4 linked regions of the Schizosaccharomyces pombe genome follow. Changing the gene in region 2 together with the main gene of any one other region gives a genetic interaction. Each region holds a gene or a part of one and is shown on either strand. Other genes may lie near its edges. The genes, in order: ivn1, ste20, mso1 and SPOM_SPCC622.03C.

Region 1 (3,785 bases), 980 kb from region 2:
AAAGCGCTCCAACAGTCACCCAACACCTCTTTGTCAAAATTACTGTTGGAAGACCAGGATTTTGGAAGCTTGTGGTTGTCATTAAGTTTTATATTTTGTAACTACTGGCAACCTGCTATGCTGATTTTGGATTCTAAAAGCATTCATCCACTACCATTAACCGATGGTGAAGTTTTACATCGATGGGAATGTGAAGTGGATTCGAATAATAAAACTACGATTGATTTGAAGTATTGGTATTGTTCATGCTCTCAATTCTCTTACAATGCTTTTAATAGCTCGAGATCTTTTGACGAGCCAATGCCCAAAAATGAGCAAGAAACCTGGGGTGGAAGATGTCTTTCCCACCACCCTACGATTTGTTCCCATATTTTAGCTGCTTCGATTTTACGTGCTTGCCATAATCTGGTAATTTAAAAAACGTTAACCCAATTCGTTTAATTGTGACTTGACTATGATATTTAACAGTAAGGGCCGTTTAAATTGCTTTCTCAATGTAAAAGAAGAAAATACGATATGATATTCATACAACGTGATTAAAAAAAAATGTCTTATTCAGATTATGTTATGCTTTAGTTATGATGCAAGTTCATGAACCCTGAACTGGTATAAAAAAGAGAATATTGTAAGTGGAAGACGAAGCTAGCATAAGTGATTAAATGGAAAGTAAATTCCAAAATGTTCATGAAGTAGTATATGTAAAAATAAATGGTAAAGATACTCAAATTCGTTTATGAGCTTTTTCCTCTATTCCAAGATAGATATCTTGGATCGCCTACGCGTCTAGGTTTGATCAAGCAAGCAATACTAAGGATTACACCGCTCGCGGCGCAGAGCCCACCGATAACAAAATAAAGAATTCCTAAAAAGTAGTTCTTTCCTCCAATAACGGATGTTGTTGAAAACATAATAGTTTTCGTTCCTTTATATTCTGTGACAGGAAAGTTATAAGTGATATTCATTTCATAAATGCCAGGTTGAAGTGCAGTAGTAACGTTTCGAAGAGCAAGTTTGCTGAATGTTGGAAGAGCAGCAGCTCTCATCCAAATTTGAAAGGCATCCCATGTAGAAACATCGGGAATATTGTCGTCAGTATATCCATTGGGAAACATTTTTGCCCAATTTGGAGGTGGAACAATTTGGGAAGCATTGTACTTAGTTTTTTTGTATCTTTCTCTATCTTCCGGCCACGCAGTACCATTTGTAGTCATATTGTAAAGTCCAAGGGAATTTGAGCTATCAAAGGATTCGTATCGTAGAAGAGAAGAATAGCTATCGTTGAAAAGCGAGTTTGCGATAATGCCACAGGGGTAATAAGGTTTCCCTTCCTCATTTGCTTCTAACGGCTTGCAGAAACCATAGCTCTTCAGTTGTGCAACAGTTCGTGCTTCGCCTAGCAACTGAAACATATCGGCGCTAACAGTATATCGACGATGGTTTTGATAAAAATTTTTGAGACGATAAAAAGCAAACACGGGACTCGTCATTTCCTCAGGTATTTGGAAACGAAGAGTACATACATCGCCTGATGATTTCCACATCGCTGTTACATTTTTTACATTTTTATATTGGAACTCAATATTCGTGGAAGGAACTTGTTTAAACTCATCGCCTATATTCATGCAATCAGTATAGTCAATTCGCAGCTCTTTGACCTAATAAAATGTTGATTAGCAAATGATCTAGAAAAAATGATATTTTCGGTAACGTTCGGGCTACACGTGTGCTAACACCGACAAAGGATAAGGCTATAATCAGATAAAAATTATTCGCAAATAATCATATCTTTCCAAAATACAGTAATGTATTGCAAAATATACCCAGTTTATCAATTTGAAACATATAGCTCTATGGAAACGCGTGATGCTTAGACTTACCCGTCGACTGGCCACAAACATGCCAGCTCCCAAAGGAGCAAACACTATGCCTAATAAGAATAATAACGGCAAGACTGTCCATGGTGTGAATATAAACTGCCAAGCAGGAAGTGTTTGCTGAACAAACCGAGATTTGTCACTACATACGGATCAGTAAACCAATTTGCCAAAAAACGAATGTAATCAAGACAACTTACGGGCGCTTAAATCTCTTATGCTTTGGTTTTTTAACTATTTCTGTTTGACTCATAGTATATAATCAGGCATTCAACAATGCTTACGAATATGAAGAATGCAAGATTAACTTGGTCCTTGGTAAAAGTGCGAGACTGCGCAAAACTCCATCATCACCTTACTCTCTCGCTGTCACTTGGGTTAGCAGGTTATATGACACAATTTATATGTAAACACAGAGAAAAAAGCATTGATTACAAAAGATATCAAAGTTATTTCATAGTAAATAACTCGTATAGTATTGATTTCCTAAAAGCATTTTTTTTTTGGGTGAAATTTTGAATGACTTATTAAGTTCATTGCTTATAATCGTATATGAAATCGCTAATAGCAGCTGCAGTGAATCAATAAAAAACCTTTCTTATTTTTAATTATGTTAATTATAATTTTTTTGTAGCCGTTTATACACAGTATTCTTGAAAAGATTATTTCAGCCGATGGATTAATGAAATAAATAGCAATTTTCCATGCGGTGAAAAAGGAAATCAAATAATATACCCGCTTGTATTCAAGGTTTTTATAAATCAAATCAGTGGAATATTCACCATCATCAGAAAAAGTTTTTTTAAATAATGAATGACATTCACAAGACACAGGATTCACCGCCGTACCCTTTTTATCCATAAAATTAGAATCATATCATTTTGCTCTTCATGATTTAGTTTATGTTGTTAGAAGGGGGTTTCCAGCGTGGTGATTCAATTTTTATTCTAAGCTTTATAAAGTTTTGTTCGGCGGTTTTCAAAGTAATGTTTAAGAGTGATGAACTTATCCGCTTCTTCACTTCTTTGAGACTTTCAATTACCTGTATAATATCTGTAGATTTGTAGAAACAGCTAAGTATCGCTATATGAATATTGATTACTTACATTGCTCAAGTAGTTTCGTTATAATGTAATGTAATAGATAACAAATTTAAAAAAAAACTGCCTATAAGAATCACTGTATAGCTGAATATTAGTTTAAGAAATTAAGCATACTAGTGGCACCTTTCACCACGAATAGCTCCATGACTGCTGCTAGCATCAAACTTCTCCAACCTTCTTATCGATCTTAACCACTATAATTATCTCACCATCATACGCGGAATTTCATTTATTTGATCAATTGCTTTTTCATTTGCAAAAGGCCAACTATCTAGAAGTATTCTTTCTCTTTCCATTTGTTGTTACCATTACTTCTTGCGTACAGAGCAGATAGAAGTATTAGAATTCATTTATTTTTTGTTAACTGTCTTTTTTACCAAAAAAATTATTTTTTAAGATATTCCCTTCATTCCAAACTTTTCTCTCAATTTATACTCAACATATTTCTTAAATTCCATTATGGCTTATCAAACTCGTGAAGGTCTCCCTAATGGCTGGGTCGCTCAGTGGGATGAACGCTACAAGTGTTACTTTTATGTTAATGAAAGTGATCCCAAAGCAAAGCCGCAATGGGAATGTCCGGTCCGTGGTTTAACTATTCCACCACCTCCTTCGGTGGACCACTCTGCTCCCCCAAGTGGACCGCCTCCTTCTTATTCCAACTCAGCCGCTCCTGCCACTCCTGCCGCTTCTGCTTCTTCTGCTGCTCCTGCTCCTGCTCCCGCAGCTTCCCAAAACAGAGCATACGGGGCCGCTCCACAGCCTTATCCCCCTCAGGGCGGTTATCCTCAACAACCATATTATTATC
Region 2 (7,143 bases):
CTAGGTCTTCTACATGAAAATATTACTCTTGACAGAATTCCCAAAGTTCCCGAGAATCATGTCTCTTTGATTGATATCGATGAGGCTCGTGCCAAAGAAGACCCCAACTTTCAAATTCATTCAACTCCTTCTAGAATGCCTCCTCACTATGTTCAACCACACCCTCCGTTCAGTGTCTTTCCCGCCCCTATACTAGACGTTCGTGAGCTCACTAAACCAGGTGCTGTCAAACGTGTGTTCCATTTTGAACTAGACGTTTCCAACTATCCCCTTCCTGAAGGCGAAGAGTGGATGGTTGGAGGGTCGTTTGGTGTAATGGCTCCCAACAACGAAGAGGATGTGGATGAGCTTTTACAATTACTTCATATCAATCCCGACCAGGCAGATGCCCCTGTCCTTTTAAAAACCGATGGAGGTCGTTGGCCCACCATCTGGGCAGAAGACACACCTAGAGAACTCGTTACAACCAGGCGTGAGCTTCTTAAATGGACCGTGGAGTTTATGTCTGTCGCCCCAAAAAAGCAGCTTATTCGGTTACTTGCCGAATACGCCAAGGATGATACCGAGCGGCAAGTTTTGTTGTTTTTGGTCAGTCGTTTGGGACAACGTGCTTTCTGTGATTTAAGGGACCACAACGTTACACTTATCACTCTGCTAAAGGCTTTCCCTAGTGTTCAACTTCCTCTTGATCACCTTTTAACCGTGCTTCCCCAGCTTATGCCTAGATGGTATTCTTTGTCAAACGATCCCAAGGTCAGTAATAATGTATTGGAATTTGCGGTTACAGTTGTTGAAATCAATAAAGTTGAAGGAGGCACTCGTTCTGGTATTGGTTCTGGTTTTTTGAAAAGATTGGCATTGAGATTTTTAAATGGTGAACGAGATCTCGTCCTTCCAATGTACCGCGGTCTGCACAAAAACGCATTTGCCACACATTTTGCTTCTGATGGCCCTATGTGCCTAATCGGTGCCGGTGTAGGTGTTGCTCCCTTTAGAGGTTTTGTGCAACGACGTCTTACAAATGCCACTTGTGCTGGTAAAGTTTGGGTTTTCCATGGATGCCGCGACCAAGAATTGGATGAGCTCTATCATGGTGAGTGGGAAAACCCGCTTCAAAAGTCTTCAGACGATGATGCATCTTCTACAGTCAGCCAACAAACCGAAACTGAAATGGATTCCTTCGAAGTTAAAAAAGACGGTACTAGTGGCCCCAACCATCTTGTTGTTGAATCACGTTCTCACCAACATGCCTATGTACAGGACGAGATTCGACACCGTGGTGACATTGTATGGAGTGTTCTTAGTCATCCTCATGGGAAGGTTTATCTTTGTGGTGGTAAAAAGGGATTTTTAGATGGTGTTGAAAATGCCTTGATTGATGTTTGCGTTCAATACGGAAAAATGAGCAGGCTGGAAGCTACCCAACAACTTGCTCTTTGGCAAAGTCCACTTAACCTTAAATACATAAAGGAGATTTGGTAAATGAATGAAGTTGTTTATCCACGTTACCAATATTTATTTTTTCGTTAAAATTTTTTTTTTGTTTACTATCTTTTCACATTATTTTCGATTCTTTTCTGTCTTTTTTATTATCGTTTCGTTTTAAAAAAATCTTTTTTGAAATGTTTCGAAAGCAATATTTGTATCTCAAAATGGCATTTTAATTCTATATTGGCTTGGGCATATCTGTTAAAACATTTTTTGTTTAGCCTTTTGTTTCCATAAATAAAAATATAAACAAATTTTAATAGTTGATTGTAGTAATATAATTTACTCATCTTATTCTCTTGCTTTGATTTATCCTTCATGTTTTCGTATACTGTTAACTAGCAATCTTGAGACTGTAAAGTAAACATTAAGGATTCGATTCTTTAGTGAACCAGTACCTAGTATCTAATTATTTATTAGCGAATTCTAAGGAAATTTGTTTTGCCCATTAATAGCGAAACATCACTCCATGTCGTACAATCGTTAACGCCGGTAACAGAACTCCGATTAAGTTCAGCCGTTGGGGTATCCATGAGCATACGAGCATAGTTCGCAAGCATTATCATTTTAGGACTCTTCACAATCTTAAGTTATTATTTAAGTGTTAATATCTTTAATTTTACTAGATTGCTTAAAAATTGAGAGTTTGACTAGCCCAGTAAGCAATCGCGTGTTGCACGCAATAAGTATTAGTACGAAAACATACTATCCCTTTATAAGGCTATTTCATGAAGGCGCTTATGGAAGGAGATAGCTTTTTTATTCCTGCTTTTAATGATCAGTGCTCATGAAACCTGTGCGAAGGGGACAAACCGATACTGCTTTGGATATAAGTTCCCATGCCAAAACTAATGGTGACTTTATCAAAAAAATGAATACCACTGATTCAAAAAGGCTCAAGTTACTTGAGGATTTGAAGGGAAAGCTCGAAGTTGAGTGCAAAATACGGGATGGCGCTGAAACGTTGCTGCAAGTCTTCGACACCAATTTTAAAAAAGAAACAAAAGAACGTAAAGAAATGTTAAAAAAGAAATGTACCGATGAGCTCGAATCATCTAAAAAAAAGATAGAGGAATTAGTTTCTAGCATTGAATCTTTCCAAGGAGAAAATGGTGAAGCAAAAACTGGCTCAACCAGTCTCACGAGGTCTGCTTCTGCGACTGTCAGTCGAAAGAGCTCATTGCAGGAAAAGTATAGTACGAGATTTTCTTACAAAGCAGGATGTAGCGATAGTTGCAGTGTTACAGTCAGTGGGACTGGTGAATTAATAGGTCCTACCAGAAATGCGCATAGCAATTTAACTCCTACCGTCATTCAAAGAATTGACTTTGAAAATGTCAACGAAAAAAATAATTCTTCTTCTGAAGATACTCAACCTAACGGAAAACGTCCTTCTAGTTTGCAATCGAATTTCTCACAATTTCCATTAAATCCTTGGCTTGATAATATATATAAGGCTTGTCTTGAAGGCAGTATGAAGGATGTAATCGATTCCTCAAATAATTTATGTGAATACTTACATGAACATTCTGATCCCGCTTATGCAAAAAACTTCTCCTTGATTACTCCGACCATACTTTCAATGCTCGAGTTGAATGTCTCTGAAGTTACGGCTTCTGTTTATAGACTACTAAGGCATTTGTTTCTTGACGCAACAGCATTCTCTTGTTGTCAAATGTTGAATTTACCTTGGATCTTGTCAAAGTCTCTACTTTCTGGTACCGATGCATATCAAATTGAACGAGAGCAAGCATTCCGACTAATCCGAACTCTTTATTTTCTTTCATCAACTGAAGGACATGAGGATTATCTTTCAGGTATTACGAGGACTATCATTTCAATTTGTGAGCATGTATCAGATGTTAGTCGTGGAATTGCTGTTGAAACTCTTATCGAGTTAATGATTATTCGACCAAAAATTTTATTTAAAGCTAATGGTTTAAGGGTTTTAATGATCTCCCTAATCGATGGAAGTATTTCTGAGAATTTAGCAGCTAGTGCTGCACTTGCATTAGTATATCTTTTGGATGATCCTGAAAGCGCTTGTTACGTAAATTTACCCTACGATATTGGCATTTTACTTTCACCTTTTACTAGTTCTTCTTCGCGAGATACATTTAATTCCTCTGAGGAACAGTCTGAACAAGCTGCAAAAGCCATGAAATCTTCCGCCAAAGTTGCCTCTGTTTTGCTTAATTCATGGTCTGGATTATTGGCTTTGTCTACCAATGATTTTCAGGCTCTTCGGTCGATTGTTGATACACTTCGGGTTCCATCCTTTGCTCCACGAAGCGATGTAATTGATCTTTTCTTTTTAATTTTCCAAGTTGAGTATTCAAGTTGGTCAGAGTCTTTTTTGGCCGGAAAACGATTAACAGTCGTTAAAAATCAGGCTGTATCTAATGATGATAACATAAACATGGTTAATATACCGGATGGTTCCAACAAAAAGTACATGTCGCTACGCCAACATTTTACAGCCGTCTTATTATTTATATTTTTGGAGCTCGGTTTGGTTGAATCTATTGTATGTATGATTAGGGCCAGCGATGACCCATCAGCCTCACGTAAAGCTACATATCTTCTAGGAGAGGTATTGAGGCTGTCTGATGAGCTACTGCCGATTCATTTAGGAGCCAAAATACAATCCTTGCCATCTTTATTTAATATGGCTTCTCAATTTACTGCCGAAGACAGGTTTGTTGCCACTTCTGTTCTTCAATCCATTGAAAGTTTGAATAGAGTTAAATTCCATTCTGCAACACAACCTTTCTCGCAGACAACCTCTCTTCTTTTTAAGGAGCAAAAAACTGATGGATCTTTTCGGGGGCAAAGACAGGTTGAGCATGTTAAATTGAAAATGGGCATGCAGATTGATGATTCACATTTTCGTAGTATGCTAGCTGAAACCAACGTGTTAGCTACAAAAAACTATCAAAAATGGCGATGGGATACACTTGTCCAAATTATGGAGGGTCCATTGCTAAGTCCGAAACGTATTGATGAAACTTTGCGAACCACAAAATTTATGAGACGGCTTTTAGCATTTTATAAACCCTTTTCCAACAGATTTTCTTCCATACAAAACACTAAACCAAATCAAAAATTTATAAAGGTTGGTTGTCTTGTTTTCAGGACTTTACTAGCCAATCCGGAAGGCGTTAAATATCTTTCTGAAAGCAAAGTGATTAAACAAATAGCAGAATCTCTTAGCCAGATAGACGGATATTCAGAACAGGTTTCTGAGCCGATTTTCTCGAACAGTAGGCTTCAGAAAACCCTCACCCACGGTTACTTTCCTATGTTAAAAGTATTGTCAAGCCAAAAGGAAGGTCATGCAATTATGGAACGATGGAGGATTTTTACTACACTTTACCATTTGACAGAATTGAGGAACAGAGACGATCTCATAATTATTTTTCTGACTAATCTTGATTATCGGCTAGAGGGGCACACACGAATTATATTTTCTAAGGCGCTTAATACCGGGCAACAGGCTGTACGCTTAACTGCAACCAAGCATCTTGCGGCTTTAATCAATTCTGAGTCTGCCAATGACAACTTAAATCACTGGGCAATTTCTCTATTGATATTTCAACTGTACGATCCTTGCTTGGAAGTATGTAAAACAGCAGTGAAGGTGTTGAATGAAGTTTGTGCTCGAAATGAAAACTTGCTGGCTCAAGTTGTTCAGCTTCAACCTTCATTGGCCCATTTGGGTGAAATTGGCTCACCTTTACTTTTACGTTTTCTTGCTACAACTGTCGGATTTCATTACCTTTCTGAAATTAATTTTATTGAACATGAACTCGATAATTGGTACCATCATCGAAATATAGATTACGTGGATTTATTGGAGCAAAATTTTTTCCTTTCTTTTGTTTCAAATCTCAAAATTATTGACAAGAAAAACAATGAACCAGATGAAAATATACTTCCCCTACACTTTTATGGCGAATTAGTCAAATCTCCACAAGGTTGTGAGGTTCTCGAGTCTTCTGGGCATTTTGAATCTTTTATGGGTACCTTGGTGGAATTTTACGATAAACCGTTAGGAAATGAAGCCATCAGGCAGTTAAAGAGTGCTCTTTGGGCTATAGGAAACATTGGAAAAACCGATCAGGGTATTACGTTTTTAATTAACCATGATACGATACCGTTGATTGTCAAATATGCCGAAAATTCATTGATTCCTACTGTTCGAGGAACTGCTTATTTTGTATTAGGCTTGATTTCCAGGACTTCTAAAGGCGTTGAGATACTCGAATCACTGCATTGGTATAGCCTTATGTCTTTAATGGGCACTTCACAAGGAATTTGCATTCCGAGACATGCTGGACAAGTATTATCAACTCCAAGGAGAAATGTTGAGTTTGTAAATGAGCGCGTGCCAACTCCTGAGTTTTCTTCATTACTTAGCTCTTTAACTAACTCAGAGAGAGAGGTAATTAGGCTCGTTTCCAATTTGTCAAACCATGTTTTAACAAACGAGTCAGCACGGCAACTAACAAAGATTCGTTCGAAAAATGCTAAAGTTTTCTCCTCTAAACGTTTGGTGAAAGCTTGTATGACCATTCTGGGAAAATTCCATTACCGTGTTCAGATTCAACAATTTGTATTTGAATTATTTCCTTACTCGGTTTTATTGTCTTCCTCAACCTCACAGGACTTAAATGAATCCCCGTCCAGGCCGAATAATTTGTCAATTTCCGCATGAACTCCAAATTTCCGAACCTTCACTTTTCTAAAATTTTTGTAAATTAATGATTTTTATGATTTCTTATTATCGTTTTTCTTCTGTTATTCAATAAGTTTGATCTTTAGTTTTCTGCTTATTCTTTGACCTTCCCTCTTTGTTTCTTTTCATAAGTTTATTTACTAAGTTAGACTAGTGTTTACATAAAAGGTGATTGCGCTAGGGTTAGTAATGAGTTTATAATTGTTTTTGGATGTTTAAATTATTAATCTAATATTTATAAGACATGTCTGATACTTGCGGATATTTTTTTGAATTTGTGTAGTTTAGGTAGGCCTGCTTAGCCCCTGGCCTCCATACGATAGTAATATGAACAAGAATATATTGCCTTTCATCTTTTCGTGCTAATTTTTACTTTGTACGCTGTTATTATCAATATAAAAATTGCGTACCACAAAGGTGTACTTATATGTAATACCCATGCTTAGCAAGTTATGCTCAACTTCCACATACAACGTATGCAACGAACGGCAGCCTCATGTTATAGTAAATTAGCAAATCCTATATAACTAAACGAAAGTGTATTTGCTTAACATATCGTGGAGTTTGGGCATATTTCTGCTCACAAGTAAATCTCATACAACATCGCATTTGGTTTTAATTTGTTTTGGTTGTTCGCAAGGAAGAAGATTATTCTTTAAAAAAAAGGAAATAAATTTATAAATATAATTTGAAAAAAAATATATATATATATATTTGGGTTTTTACACTCTTTTGACTACATAACTCGATAGGTTTTCGGATTTGTTTAATAGACAAAAGAAGGAAGTACGTTTAAGGGTTTATTTCTATGGAACATTATTGATTTTTTTTTTTTCTTGCTATGTACAATGTGACATACAGGTTACTTCGTCTAAGCTTGATTTCTTCTCATTCTTTAAGAAAATCACGGTCCTTCG
Region 3 (3,441 bases), on a different chromosome or scaffold from region 2:
TTAGCGAGTAAGGGTTGGGATGGCTTAAATGATCTAAGATAATACGTATACTTGCGAACAAGTAAGTTGAAAGGAAATGAAACTTCGATATATCTAATATTATAATGGTTAAATTGCGTTATAGCGTATTAAATTTTATTTTTAGGATAATCGAAATTCTCGTCTTGTAAGTCTAGTCTGCATTTGGATGCGGTTTCTGGTTGCTTAAAACGTTGTTCAATGAGAAAATACATTCGTGAAGATCATTTTTACTTACAAAGCATTCGTAACATATTTTGTTGTCACGTTGAGCTAAATATAACCAGAAATTTGCAAATAAACGAGAATCACAAGAACGAATCCATTGGTGCTTTTATTTACATACCATATTAAATTACAATAACGAATTTTCACAATTCGTCCCTAAGTGTTCGAGTTAGAAATTAAAGAAACCTATACGATGCGCTGTATGTAACGATAAGTTTTTATAATGTTGAATTGATTTCAGCTACTAGCTTTAATTCTACCAAGCGCTTTTTGAACAGTTTAATTTTTAAAGCTACAATCCGGTTAGAAACATAAAGAACATGTGATGGTTATTTAATTAGACTAAATGATAGTTCTCAAACTAAAGGCGAGTTGCTTAGGATAGTGCACCTTATTGTCAGGTCATTCCAAAAATAATTACTAAAGGAAAAACCAGAAAAGGTGAGCTAACTCAAAGTTGTAAAATAAGTAATTATGCCTCTGTACTGACAAATGTCGAACTTCTGGGTAAGATGGGCTTAGTTATTAACAAACGAGGTTGAGAATAACACATACGTAGTAACAGCATTTTCAAAGAAACAAAAAGTCGTTTTGATCATTAATACGCCATTAACAGATACCAATGAGAGTAAAGTAAAGGTATCGTTGTGTCAACTAAAACTTCTTTCTAGTGTGATCAAATTTTGACCGTAGCAATGAGCCGGAAGGTGTAGAGGAAAGAGGTTTCGTGGTGGAAGGTGATTTTTGAAGACTTCCGACACCTTCAAACAAATCGTCAAAGGTACTATGTTGAACAGAAGGTAATCGTCGTAAAGGGGGAGACGAAGCAGAGGAAGTGGAGGACGATAGCCTCCTAGGATTGGCCGGAATATATGAAGCTTTTAAATTTGAAGGAGCCGCATTACTTGCATTTATGCTAACTGGGGAAGTAGGTCCTGTGTTAACTGGAGGCTGCCATCCAGGAGGACGAAGCCATTCAGGTAATGTCCCAATTTTGTCCATATAGTATTTTCTCATTACACGAGCAACGTGAGTATCTTCAATCGTATTATCGCTTTCAGGGTCGCGAATACGATTAATTTTTGAAGAAATCGATAACTTTGACCACATGATGAATCGAGAGTTCGCGTTTCTTTATGTACTACTTAATCTCTAAATTTTAAAGAACCTTGGCATTTGAATTCAAAAAATTTCAATAAAAGTAATTAATAAAAAAGTTTAGCCATTATTATGATGCCAAGAACGGCTTAATATCTGGCGACGCGGATTTCATAAAGACGCCAACTCGCTAAACTGTCTAAAGTGATTAATAACACGACCATGAACTACATTATATGTTTTAACGAATGTAAAATCAGCACATAAATAGATAATTTTATTGCAAATGTCCAATTGATTAATATCTTACAAATAAAAATAATTTGTGGGTGGATTTAAACATTTAATTTAGATACTCTCGAAGATGATGCATGAAATCGGCTAAAAAAAAGAATGAACGATGAAAAGCTTGGTAAACAAAATCAATACTGAGCAATCTTACTATGTAGTAGCTAATTAAGGTATACATAATTTCTAAATGGACTACGAAAATGTAGTTTTAAAATAGTTAGGTAAGTTTTAATTTTACTACTTGTAGTCTTCCAAAAATCATAAACTAGTATCTACAATAAAAATTTCTTTAAATTAAATATATGTCGGTGAAAAAGAGCCTCGCCCTTAATATGTATTCACTACGAAAACTAAATAAGGATATCGTATATATTAGTTGTTCTGCGTTCACAAAGCTGAGTGCATTTTTGGAGTTGAGCCATCATACTCTCACGCTTAACAACACCCCACTGTGTAATCTATCTACCTCCAAGAAAGGGCTGTCTTCGCTATATCGTTGATTTTGAAAACTTTTCGGAATTTTGATGAAGCGCTCCGTGCTCACAATTATTTTATTTTTTTCCTGTCAATTTTGGCATGCTTTTGCTTCATCAGTATTAGCAATTGATTACGGCACAGAATGGACTAAAGCGGCCCTCATTAAGCCTGGAATTCCTCTTGAAATTGTATTGACGAAAGACACTAGACGTAAGGAACAAAGTGCCGTTGCTTTTAAAGGCAATGAACGTATTTTTGGTGTTGATGCTTCCAACTTGGCTACCAGGTTTCCTGCTCATTCCATTCGTAATGTTAAGGAGCTTCTTGATACAGCTGGTCTTGAATCTGTCTTAGTACAGAAATATCAAAGTTCTTATCCTGCAATTCAATTAGTCGAGAATGAAGAAACTACTTCTGGTATATCCTTTGTAATCTCTGACGAGGAAAATTACTCTTTGGAAGAAATTATTGCCATGACCATGGAACATTATATATCACTGGCTGAAGAAATGGCACATGAAAAAATTACTGATTTGGTGTTGACTGTTCCACCTCATTTCAATGAACTTCAACGCTCAATTCTTCTTGAAGCGGCACGTATTCTCAACAAACATGTTTTGGCCCTCATTGATGATAATGTGGCTGTTGCCATAGAGTATTCACTCTCTCGTAGTTTTTCGACTGATCCCACTTACAACATCATTTACGACTCAGGCTCTGGCTCCACTTCAGCAACGGTAATATCTTTTGATACGGTAGAGGGATCTTCACTAGGTAAAAAGCAAAACATCACACGTATTCGTGCTTTGGCAAGTGGATTTACGTTGAAGCTTTCTGGGAATGAAATCAATAGAAAGCTGATTGGTTTTATGAAAAATTCATTTTATCAGAAACATGGCATAGATTTATCTCACAATCATCGTGCTCTAGCACGCCTTGAGAAAGAAGCATTGCGCGTTAAGCATATATTATCTGCTAATTCAGAGGCCATTGCTTCTATTGAAGAGTTAGCTGACGGTATCGATTTTCGACTGAAAATAACTCGATCAGTCTTAGAATCGCTTTGTAAGGATATGGAAGATGCAGCTGTAGAGCCTATTAATAAAGCACTTAAAAAAGCAAATCTCACATTTTCCGAAATTAACTCTATTATCTTGTTTGGAGGAGCCTCTCGTATTCCATTTATCCAATCTACTCTTGCTGATTATGTTTCTTCTGATAAAATATCAAAGAACGTGAATGCTGACGAAGCGTCTGTGAAAGGAGCTGCATTCTATGGTGCTTCTTTAACTAAAAGCTTCCGTGTAAAGCCTTTAATTGTTCAAGATA
Region 4 (3,777 bases), on a different chromosome or scaffold from region 2:
TCGTTTCCTTCGTTCTCCTCTTCGAGCGATGGATAACTGGGAGGAGGTACCTCTTCGGCATAAGGATAATAACCACCGGCATTGAGCGCCATTTCATCTTCTCCCGGTTCCTCAATTTGTCTTTCATCTACAAGTTGAAAACACGGCCACACAAGGAACAGGAACATCACAAGGAATCCAGCCGCCAACACAGTATTCATTCCCAACACCCATCCCGGCACACCAAAACTATAAACGATGGAGCCAACCGCAAACTCCATGAAGCATGGGATTAGCATGTAAAGAGCTCGTTTTGAAAGAATTCCTTGTATATGACAATTCTTTTCAAATGCTTCGAAGTAAGAGTAACGTCGTCGAATTTGCTCGCGAGGGACGGCATGGATGAATACATTATCCACAGTCATCGTAGGAAAAGTGAATTTACAGGAAGGAATTAGGAATAAGTACGTTTCAAAAAGTCAAAGTAAAGTTTTCAGGTATTTTTTATTACAACAACGTCATTCCGATGTGGTTTTCACTATACCCGCTGCTACACTGAGTAAAGAGGGAGGATACTGCGGTTAGCCCAAATGTGGAAAATGTCCTTGAACCCTACCTACCCGAAGCAAGAAATCCGGTGTTGGAAAGCGCTGAAGGAGCGACATTCACAGTTTGATTTTCTTTTCTTTTTTTCTATTCTTGGACATCTGTTTTGATTCTTTTCTTTCTGCTGAACAGTTTCACGATGGCAGCAAATATCTCGAAACTTGAAGCAATTATTGATAATACACCGAATTCTTCCCCAGACCCAGAAGTTTCTCACAAGTTATGGGTGTCCTCTTTAAACAAATTTCAATACACACTTCCTCTTTTGATTAGTAACTTTGCTGGGCTCGGAATTGCGTTCATTTACTGCCTGATCGCTTTCATTCGAGAAATGTCGCATCCTTCATCCAGGAAAGACACAATGGAGCACGGGTTGCCCATAATTTTGTGCTCTACGTTGATGCTTGTTGGAAACATCCTTTACTATTTCTTGTCGAAACATCCGCTTAAAGTCACCGTTCCAGAGGATTTGGTGCAAATTCCTATGCAACAAATGTCCAGTCCCGCTCAAGAAGCACCTTAATTGGCCGTATATTTTGTTTCAATTATGTTTTTGAAGTGCTTGTCTAATATAATAAGGAGAATGCCATAATCGGTGACATTGTGAGCCGAGTTTTTGAGGCAGACATGTAGAATAGATGATAATTTGTATTTTATTAATTAATCTGTGAATGATATATTAAATGAATTGAAGTTCAAAATGAAATATGAAGAGGTGTCGAAAATATAGGAATAGTACAAACCAGTATATCGAACAGTGCTCTAAATTTTGGAAGATGAGTTCGTTCAGGGTCGATGTATTCAACACACTTCCATTTCGCATTACGAGACAAGTTTATGAAACGAATACGTTTTAGATAAAAATAGTATTGAATTATTAAGTTAATTTTTAGATTAGTAGTGACTTAAATGTTGAATAAATATTAAAGGAGTAATAAGATTAAAGGCAGCGGAATGGAAACGAAATATTTTATAACAAAGTGAAACAGGCGTAAAGGAATAGGTGCCCAAAAGCGATATATGAAGGTGTTATTAATACCTCTGATATGGAGAAGAGTTGAATGTATCTTCTCTTGCTTTAAGATTCTCTTGAAAGTCCTCAACTTCACCTCGTCGAATTTCAACTGTCAGTTTACGAGAACCTATAAAGAGCATCGCAAGTACTATGAGTATGAGTAAAGCATTTACGACAGCATCGATCATAGCAATTACTTGAATAGCTGATGGAAAACCTTTAAAGATGAAAGTAAACACAAGAATGAAAAGACGGCAAGACACGATGAAGGAGATAAAAGACATAAACAAAAAGTCATAATTATCAGCTCGTTCCTTACCGGCTTCATACGTTTTCTTTTCAATTAGTTTTTTGTATGTGGCACCTTTAAGTAACGACTGGAGTTCCCATAGTTGAATGGATTTCTTTGGATTCATATTTTTGTGGGAGGCAAAACAGCTAGTTTGAACAAATCCGTTTAAAAACAAGAAAAATTGCGAAAAAATATTAATATGAAATAAAATGCTTAAAAGTCAAAGGATTTCGACAATCGTTGTTAATGAGTAATTGGAGCGCAAGACCAGAGGTTTAACGATTTTGATATTCAACCAATATATTCAATTTCTCTGCCTACACAATCCCGACCTAAATATTCTGTATTATTTGATAAATATTTATTCTTCTTATGCAAAAGCATTTTCATTTTCTGGCCAATATCTGCTAAATTTTGTGTTATATTTATCAACATGACACAACCTGACATTGAAATAGTTATCAAGGAGGATTTTACCTATAGGGAGTGTTCAGATGTTGCGAACGATGTGTTTAAAAAAACTCAATGGCTCTTGTACGTTTTCCTTTTCATAATTTTTGCCAATTGTGTTGTTGATGTTAAGTATTATTTTGAGGGATTTAGTCATTCATTATTATTCGTCTATTTTTTCTTGACTTTAATAATTCTTCTTGTAAGTTTTATGGGATTTCATTATTTGAATAGTATTCCTAAGCCGGAAGCTGAACCTGACTATCGAAAGAAGCAAGAGTCAAAGAATCAGGATTTCCTTAAAAGTCAATCTAATGAACCTTTAGAGTACGCCTCATCCTCTGCAGTTGAACTAGAAAAAGAAAAAAATACGCGAGAGGGCTTAACAATTCTTGAATCTAGTTAATTTTGTATCCATTTGGCATTTGCATCGACCTTGTTTTTGTTTTGTGTTATGTTTATAGGTTTATTATTTATATTCTTCCTTGGTGTGACAATTTTTTTTCTTTAAAACAAAAGAAATTAAAGAATTTGTATTTTATTTATTTTTCCATTTTGAACTACCATATTGAATGTATTCTCAAATTATTAGTATACAGGTGTAATGTCACTCATTTGAATGTAATCAGAAGAAAAGTTATTCTCTTGTTCAAGATCCCTTTGAAACTCCTCAACTTCTCCTCGTCGAATCTCAATTTGAGCTTTCGAGAATTATAGAATAGCAAGCTAACAACTGAGAATGAAATCTACTGTTAAATCTGACACATCTACTTTCACGGTTTTAAGAGACTTAAAGCCATCAGACATAATTGCTATCATAATGAGTAAGCGGAAATCCACGTAGCATAGTCCAGGAAGAAATCCAAACCATAAATAGTTTTCGTGATGTCCCTTTGAAATTTCATCTGATTTTTTCTCAATCAGTTTTTCGTACGCAGTACCTCAATGCAGCGACTGGAATTCGTACAGTTTAATGGATTCACTTGGACTCATCATATATGATACAAGCAAAATAGCCACGTCAACAAAGTTCTTCTAATGTCTGAAAATCAATTCAGTTATCAGATTGAAATATTGCTATCAATTCAAGTCGAATAATAGGAAAATCTTTCTCTGTGGTTGATGATTTAAATATTTAAACCAGACCAGGGGTTTCACAATTTAGTTAAGAGTTACATTTACGGACTTTTCTTTCCACAAACCTCACTTTTTACTGTTTTATTTTTTGAATTTTGCTGGACATTTTTTTAAATAGCTTCCATTTCTTGCTAAACTTGTTTAAGTATTCATTTGTATTCGTTTTAATTGATAGAGGCATTGAACGTTGAGTCGAAATGAAGGAGTTAATCTATAAACCGCGTTCACAATTTTTGCCAATATTTTTACTTGGTCTTTGAACGTTCTATTTTTCTTGTTTCTTGTGACACGTGCCGTT

Evidence for each region.
Region 1: mutations in ste20 (region 2) and ivn1 together harm fitness more than expected from each alone (negative genetic interaction), as found in Schizosaccharomyces pombe (one large-scale study listed by BioGRID).
Region 3: mutations in ste20 (region 2) and mso1 together harm fitness more than expected from each alone (negative genetic interaction), as found in Schizosaccharomyces pombe (one large-scale study listed by BioGRID).
Region 4: mutations in ste20 (region 2) and SPOM_SPCC622.03C together harm fitness more than expected from each alone (negative genetic interaction), as found in Schizosaccharomyces pombe (one large-scale study listed by BioGRID).

Annotation. Positions count from the first base shown.
Region 1 is NC_003423.3:1,495,365-1,499,149, forward strand, and holds ivn1 (aminophospholipid translocase regulatory protein Ivn1), read right to left. Parts: upstream 2,192-3,785; 5' UTR 2,128-2,191; coding exon 2,075-2,127; exon of another isoform or gene 2,017-2,074; coding exon 1,878-2,016; exon of another isoform or gene 1,733-1,877; intron 1,656-1,732; coding exon 732-1,655; 3' UTR 560-731; downstream 1-559. Other genes in the region: sws1 (SWIM domain-containing Srs2-interacting protein 1), read left to right, coding at 1-417; protein wwm1, read left to right, coding at 3,437-3,785. UniProt on the Schizosaccharomyces pombe protein: Accessory component of a P4-ATPase flippase complex which catalyzes the hydrolysis of ATP coupled to the transport of aminophospholipids from the lumenal to the cytosolic leaflet of membranes and ensures the maintenance of asymmetric distribution of phospholipids.
Region 2 is NC_003423.3:2,473,864-2,481,006, forward strand, and holds ste20 (target of rapamycin complex 2 subunit ste20), read left to right. Parts: upstream 1-2,015; 5' UTR 2,016-2,275; coding exon 2,276-6,205; 3' UTR 6,206-6,599; downstream 6,600-7,143. Other genes in the region: SPOM_SPBC12C2.03C (methionine synthase reductase), read left to right, coding at 1-1,482; SPOM_SPBC12C2.01C (uncharacterized protein), read left to right, coding at 7,068-7,143. UniProt on the Schizosaccharomyces pombe protein: Component of TORC2, which regulates multiple cellular processes to control cell growth in response to environmental signals. TORC2 is required for cell survival under various stress conditions.
Region 3 is NC_003424.3:279,864-283,304, reverse strand, and holds mso1 (exocytic docking protein Mso1), read right to left. Parts: upstream 1,485-3,441; 5' UTR 1,357-1,484; coding exon 901-1,356; 3' UTR 560-900; downstream 1-559. Other genes in the region: lsh1 (protein Lhs1), read left to right, coding at 2,160-3,441.
Region 4 is NC_003421.2:1,404,352-1,408,128, forward strand, and holds SPOM_SPCC622.03C (uncharacterized protein), read right to left. Parts: upstream 2,017-3,777; coding exon 1,618-2,016; 3' UTR 1,109-1,617; coding exon of another isoform or gene 725-1,108; 3' UTR 516-724; downstream 1-515. Other genes in the region: SPOM_SPCC622.01C (uncharacterized protein), read right to left, coding at 1-404; SPOM_SPCC622.02 (uncharacterized protein), read left to right, coding at 725-1,108; SPOM_SPCC622.04 (uncharacterized protein), read left to right, coding at 2,326-2,748.